Linked DNA regions of Danio rerio. The protein of the gene in region 1 purifies or fractionates together with the protein of each later gene. This does not show direct contact. Links are inferred from orthologs where the notes say so. Each region holds a gene or a part of one and is shown on either strand. Other genes may lie near its edges. The genes, in order: pnkp and lig3.

What was found.
Region 2: the proteins of pnkp (region 1) and lig3 purify together in Homo sapiens (co-immunoprecipitation; 5 studies listed by BioGRID and IntAct, with this or other methods). This does not show direct contact. The link is inferred for Danio rerio from reciprocal best matches to the Homo sapiens genes PNKP and LIG3.

Annotation. Positions count from the first base shown.
Region 1 is NC_133190.1:16,213,888-16,217,723, reverse strand, and holds part of pnkp (bifunctional polynucleotide phosphatase/kinase), read left to right. Parts: intron 1-2,084; coding exon 2,085-2,156; intron 2,157-2,269; coding exon 2,270-2,318; intron 2,319-2,824; coding exon 2,825-2,895; intron 2,896-3,126; coding exon 3,127-3,219; intron 3,220-3,529; coding exon 3,530-3,626; intron 3,627-3,705; coding exon 3,706-3,767; intron 3,768-3,836. UniProt on the Homo sapiens protein: Plays a key role in the repair of DNA damage, functioning as part of both the non-homologous end-joining (NHEJ) and base excision repair (BER) pathways.
Region 2 is NC_133180.1:66,748,518-66,752,353, forward strand, and holds part of lig3 (DNA ligase 3), read left to right. Parts: intron 1-474; coding exon 475-630; intron 631-736; coding exon 737-868; intron 869-1,942; coding exon 1,943-2,022; intron 2,023-2,152; coding exon 2,153-2,240; intron 2,241-2,403; coding exon 2,404-2,481; intron 2,482-3,836. UniProt on the Homo sapiens protein: Isoform 3 functions as a heterodimer with DNA-repair protein XRCC1 in the nucleus and can correct defective DNA strand-break repair and sister chromatid exchange following treatment with ionizing radiation and alkylating agents.

The DNA.
Region 1 (3,836 bases):
GTTTTAAATAAAATAAATGATTAGTGTGTCCGCGGGTTTTTAAAAATTAATACAAGTTTATATCAATTATGAGAAAATTAAGGGCTTTAAAAGGTATGAAAAAGTCTTAATCACATTTTTACGAGGACTTAATTTTTGTTCAAGCGTTGTCCAAAGTGTTTTTACTCCAAAAAAGTATATAATATAAGTTTCTTCGCATCTGGCCAAGCTCCACCGTCCGAGTGTAGTGAAACCATAGAGCAAAACAGACAGGGAGATAGGAAAGTATATGTTTGCGTACTCCTGGTTGGAGAAAGATGAGTTTAAACAGTGGCTGAAGCCTGCCATTGAAAACAACCACGTAATTTATTCTTTCAAGCTTTGTTTCTTCCGAGCTTATCTGAGTTATGTTGCATGGTTGTGCTCCATTGATTTATTTAACTACAATTCTTTATTAACAACAGTTGATTAACATCTGTTTATTAAGTTTAAAGGTTTAATACTGATTAGAACTTTTTTTAGAAGTTTTGATGAGGTCTTCAAATATTCTGAGAAGGTCTTTTCCAAACTCCTAAAAAGGTGTTGAAATTACCTTTAGGATTCTTACATATACCCTGTTGATACATGCTGGCATGTTTAGTCAATTGTACATATTCATCTTTATATTCACTCTTTATATTTACTCTTACTTACAGTTGAAACCAGAAGTTTACATACACTGTATAAAAAGGCACATAACCATTTTTATGAAGTCAGATGCTAATTTGACTAAACTTTTTCTCTTTTAGGTAAATTAGGGTTATCAATTTAGTTTCTGTTATGCTTAATAGCAGAATATTGAGAGATATTTTTTGAGAACTTTTCTTGAAAGTCAAAAGTTTACATACAATACGATTACTATGCCTCTGAAAATGATGATGATGATGATAAAGATGATGGTGTCAAGGTTTTGGAAGTTTCTGATTGGCTAATTGACAAAATTTGAGTTAATTAGAGGCACAACTGTAGAATAGCATTTAAGGAAAACCTCAAACACACTGCTTCCTTGTATAACAACATGGGAAAATCAACAAGCCAGAATCAACAAAAAAAAAAGCCAGATTACAATTTGCTAAATTACGCTGGGAAAAAGAATAATTTTTGGAGACATGTCCTAAGGTCTGATTGGAACTAAGATTAAGCTGTTTGGCCATAATAACCAGTGTTACATTTGGAGGACAAAGGTGAAAGCGTACAAGCCTAGGAACACCATCCCAACGGTGAATGGGAGCGGCAGAAGAGTCTGGTCCAATTCATAGCATAGATGATATCATTAAGAAAGAACATTATGTAGAAATGCTGAAGCAACATCTCAAGACATCAGCCAGGAAACTACAACCTGGCCACAACTGGATCTTCCAAACAGACCATGACCCTAAGCATACTGCCAAATTCGTTAAAATGTGCTTGAAAAAAAAAAAAGTTGAAAAAGCTTGTGCGAGCAAATCTGCCTCAGTTACACCAATTCTGTCAGGAGGAAGGGGCCAAAATACCTGCAAACTATTGTAAGAAGCTTGTAGAAGGATACCCAAAACATTTGACAAAAGTTATACAGTTTAATAGCAAAGCTAAAAAAATACCAAGGAAATGGATGTAAACTTTTAACTGTTAAGAAATTAATAAAAAAATGTAAAGAAAAAAAATCTCTCATTATTCTGGCATTTAGCAAATGTAAATCATTTAGGTAATCCTAACGGAGCTAAAATAGTAAACGTTTAGTATGATTTACCATCAGACATTTAAAAAGAAATGGTTATGTTCCTGTTTTCAGAGTGTATGTAAACTTCTGGTTTCAACTGTATGTATAGAGAGGGGTACAGAAGTGAATATTTTACAGCAGATTTTTACAAATTAATTTGAAAATGAAACGTGCAGCATTTGTTATTTTATCTAAATGTTAACCTTTAAAAAAACTCTTTAAGATAAAGGACTAGAATGTATCTTGACAATTAATATATCTTTGTTTGACAAAAGTATTGATTTCTTGCTTTAAATACATTGACTTGTGGTGGAATAAAATTAAGTGTGGATATAATTTACAAATGAAAGTATATTGTCTTTTTCAGGTGTTTGTTTCCACAGCCCCTGGGATTTACAGAAAACCTGTCATTGGGATGTGGGAGCATCTGTGTGAGAAGGTAAATCACGATTACTTTTTTGTATTAGAGGGACTGCATTACTGTAGTGTTCCTATGTTATAAGCAGCAAGCCACATCATGTTTTGCTACACATTTACTGTGGTGTTTTGCAGGCGAATAGCGGAGTGATGGTAGACGTGTCAGAGAGCTTTTATGTAGGAGGTGAGCTCAATTGAATCCTTTTGAGTGTGATTAGCTTTGTAATATGATTATCTGTGATTAATATTGTACTTTTTTTTACAATGTGTAAGCTGAAATTACAAACGATGTCACTCACTTTTGCTTAAAACAAGCAAACTAAATACTCTATATTGATTGTGTGATGAAGACTATTAGAATGCAGTTAGAATGACCCCTAATTCAAGTTATAAAGCAAAAAAAAAAAAAAAAAAAAAAAAAACAACTCATGATTCTTTTTGCTATTTAAAGAAATAATAATATACAGTCAAGCCCAAAATTATGTATACCCCTGCCAAATTCTGACTTAAAATTATTTTTATTCAACCAGCACGTTTTTTTGTTTGACTGAAAATGACACAGGTTTTTCCAAAAGATAATAAGATGATGTACAAGAATACATTCTTTTAAATGTATTATGTGATAATGCAAGAAGATTCAAAATATTTTTGGTCATTCGTTCATTCATTAATTTATATATTCATGTACAGATGCAGCAGGACGTCCCGCTAACTGGGCCCCAGGGAAAAAGAAGAAAGACTTCTCCTGCAGTGACAGACTGGTAATGACATTAGGAGTCTTTATTGCTCATTGGATGACTGAAATAGCTAATTCAATACTGAATTACTGAATTGTGTATTCTTTTTAATTTACAGCATATGATTATTGCGTATAAAGTCTTTACTTTTTTTGGCCAGGAGAGGGCACAATAGGATTGTTCTTGCTCCATTTTAGTCAGCTTTACAGAATTTGAAATCCTTTAGATTTTTTTTTTCCTGTCCTTTGCCCACAGTTTGCCCTCAACATTGGTCTTCAGTTTTACACCCCAGAGGAATACTTCTTGGGCTGGAAACCTGCTACATTCAGCTTCCCAGAATTTGACCCAGTAAATGATTGCTTATTCCCCAATATTTATGTTTCGTATGTGTGTGCGTGTGGTGTGTGTGCGTGTGTGCGTGTGTGTGTGTGTGTGTGTGTGTGTGTGTGTGTGTATATATATATATATATATATATATATATATATATATCAATCGATTAAAAAAATTGACTAATTAATCGCACCTTTTAAAAAAAAATTTATTGCGATTAATCCTGCCTTCGAGTACAACAAAATTCATGCCAGGCTGCCAGCTCTAATCTTTTGAACAGTATTGAACAACATTACCAATATTCTGTCTTTCTATGCCATTGTCCAGAGGAAATTAGACTCTAAAGCACGTCTTTATGATCCGCCTGATGCCTCGCTCACCTCTACCAAGCAGGAAATCATTGTCGCTGTGGGATTTCCTGGAGGTGAGAGCTTTTTTCCCTTTGTTTTTTTCCCTACTCTAATCTGGAATTTTGTATAATCTAAACCTATTTTGTTTTTCAGCGGGCAAGTCAACGTTCTTCCAGACCCACATCATTCCAAAGGGTTATGCGTACGTGAACAGGGTGAGTAGTGATAAGCAACAGAGAACCAAAGGCCCTGTTTACAACTGCTAATATGTAATACACAGTTGA
Region 2 (3,836 bases), on another chromosome or scaffold:
TTTACCCACTGTTGCCAAACATCTGTGTTTAAACCCTTATAAAAGTCATTTTTGCATAAAAGGTACCCTCTAAAAAAAACAAAACACTTGAAATGTATCAGTGTGTGTGTGTAATGAATCGTATCTGACTTTCACTTTTCAAATTTAATTACTAAAATAAATCAACGATATTCTAGTTTGAAATGCACTTGTATATCTTTCCAAACGTGTATGATTATTATTTTTTTTTAATTCCACAAAGTTAACAGAATGTATTTTTGGGTTAAGTAAGCAATTGATTCATTGTTACTCATTTATAGATTAGATTCGATATTACGAACATGAAAAATGATGTACATATGTCCTCATTTAGACTAGTTTGTTGGTTCAAAAGCAGTAAAGAGGTTTAGAAACAGGAACTATATAATCTCTGCTATTGAATTACATTTTTTAAATGCTTATATTTTTGTCTTTTTTGTAATATTATTTGTTTAGGCAGAGGCATGCAAGTCCATTGAGTACGCCATGAAGAAGTGTCCTAATGGGATGTATTCTGAGATCAAATATGATGGTGAGCGCGTGCAGGTCCATAAGAACGGCAATCACTTCAGTTACTTCAGTCGCAGTCTCAAACCAGTCCTCCCACACAAGGTAAGGTCCTCCGGCAACTATTAACTGTTCAAGTGAAATTCCTGGGGATATATTAATACTGAAACCATTAATATTTGTTTAAGACATGGCTTAATTTATCCCACAGGTTGCCCATTTTAAGGACTTCATACCGCAGGCGTTTGCTGGTGGTCATAGCATGATCCTTGATGCTGAAGTTCTTCTTATTGACACAAAGACTAGCAAACCACTGCCTTTTGGGACTCTTGGAGTACACAAGGTAAACCAGAGAGCTGTGTAATATTCTCCCCTTATATACAAGACTCTTATATTAGAAGTTTCTGTAAGTCTGTATTTATTTGATTACATATACAGTAAAAACAGTAATTTTTGACTCTTTTTATTTTACAATATTTTAAAATGTTAATTAGGATTTTCAGCATTACGTCAATCTTTAGTATCACACGATCATTTAGGAATCATTTTTATTTTGCTGATTTTGTGTTTATGATATCATTTTATTAAGACCATTGAACTTATTACCTCAAACATCCTAGAAGAATTTCTAGGCAAAATTATTTAAATTATTAGATAAAAAAAAGAAATATATATATATATATATATATATATATATATATATATATATATATATATATATATATATATATATATATAATTAGTAGATATATAGTTCAAGACTGGGCTGATTTACCATCTGAACGCACTCAATATAAAAAAATAACTCCAGTTAAGAGGTTAAACAAAATTCTAAGAAGTACCAAAATTCTAAGCACTTTTTAAAGTATTGTATAAAATTTAAATAATTAAAAATTTGATTATTAACACCAATGAAAACTATTGCCATTTACTTTTCTATTGTTATTTTGTGATTTTTGATACAATCATAAGCCAACAGAATTGGATGTCTGAACTTACAGGAATAATTTTTTTTTTTTTGGAGCATAGAATATGCATATTTTACATAAAACATGGTACTTTTAGAAAATGGATAGACAGTGATAAAATATTTGTAAAAAATCTGGGGTCACATCAAAGACTCATCTCATTTAATTAGAGGGTCATCTCAACAATTAAGGACTGCATTATGAAGCATCTTAAGTGTTAAACTTAACTATTTTTTTGGTTCAGATAGTTAAAAAGAACAGCATTTTTTTAAAATTGAAATCTTTCAAAACATAATTCCTTTTCACTTTAATTCAATCCACCTTTGCCAAATAAAATGTTCTTTTGTTCAAAAAAATAAAAAGAAGAAAGTTTTAGAGGTAGTGAATATTACAGACTTAATGAATCTGTCTGATCTGAAACCATTGTCTGTTTTAATGTATGCTTTCAGAAAGCCGCTTTTCAGGATGCTCAAGTGGGCCTGTTCGTGTTCGACTGCATTTATTTTAATGGTGTCAGTCTAATGGACAAGTGAGTCAACCTGAAGGCATTCATTCTAGCTATTGCAGGTTTTAGAGAACAATAAAACCATTGTACTAAAGACTGATGGAAAATTTCAAAGAAAAGGCTTCTGAAATGTTGATCTGGTTATGATTTTTAGGCCTCTCTGTGAGAGAAGAAAGTTTCTCCATGATAATATGGTGGAAGTTCCTAACCGAATTCTGTTCTCAGAAATGAAGCATGTCACAGTAAGTCCTGCAGTGTTGTTGATGTCTTTTCTTTACACATAATGGAAGATTCAAGAATGTTTACCAAAGTGTGGGCAGGTCAATTTAATTACAGGATGATGTTATGGTAAGCCTTCAGAGTGGGTGACTTATTATAACAATTAATGGCATTGTGTCTTTACAGAGAGCTCCTGATCTGGCAGAAATGATCACGCGTGTCATCAGAGAGGGGCTGGAGGGCTTGGTTCTGAAGGATATAAAGGTAAATTAAGCCTGATTAGTGGGGTACTACAGTATATACCACATGTTGTTTGTTTTGTAAACTCCAAAACAAGTGTTCAACTTTTAAAACATTTTAATTTTAAATGAAGGCCAGTAATGGGTCTGTTCAGAGCTACAGAACCATTTACATGGCACCAATGCAATAAAGTTGGTTGCCAGAGACGCGTTCTAATCTCATGGCCCTTCATGGCCCTTTAAAAAAAATAAAAAATAAAAAGTTTGTCATAGGTCCAGAATCGCTGCTGTTAGATAAAAATTATGACGTTATGCAAAAATCACACAATTTTCTACTATAAAGTAGTCAAAAACAAAAGTATGTGACATAAATATGTCCATATTCACAGTACTTATTAATATATATATATTTTTTTGTTAATGTCAAGGTATGAAGCAAGGCAAATAAGACTGGTAGTTCAGATGACAATGACACATAGTCCTATGATTAATAAATGTAATAAATTTAAACAAATTTGGTTCTTCAATCAGATTAAATTGTCTGCATGAACTGATCTGATATCGCGTGTGTTGTGAGGAACAGATCTATCGATACTTGAAATCATGATCAGCAATCCAATCCTGCTGCTGAGGACACAGCAGCGTAATGACATCATCTTATTAATATTTAGTTATCCATGTGAGCAAAATTATATCAAATTTGTAGTAAATGGTTTGTTAAATCTGATATGCAATACCTTTCCATCTTTGTTGTGGGCTGCAGGCTTTACACTTTCATGTGTCAAGAGTATTCAGTTATTTATTTAGTTTTACAATTAGAGCAGATTTTCTTTATTATAGTAGACTAGCCTATTCAAGTTTCTTAATCAGCGTAAGGAATAACTGCCTTTACCGATATCAAAATTAATTTTGATATCTGTAAAGGTGCCTGCAACTTTTGCGAAGCATCAAATTACCGGCATATTAGCTGTCAAAGCATGATTTATGCATGAATACATAAATTAAATTATTATATCTTTAAAATATAAATGAAAGAAAATATTTATTATATATATATATATATATATATATATATATATATATATATATATATATATATATATATATATATATATATATATATATATATATATTGTGTAAATATTTTGAATATTGTGCATGTCTACTATTATACACAAATTGGACCAAAGCTGTGTCAGTACCTTAAATTGTACTTGTTTGTATCTAAGAAGTTCATATTAATAAATGTTCTTTTTGAACCCCTTGAGGAGAACCACCCCATGACCCCGTTTTGTGTATATTACCACTACTGTAAGAAAATATCAGCATTCGGTACATACTTTCAGTATTACCTTTGCTTAAAATTACCCAATCTAATCC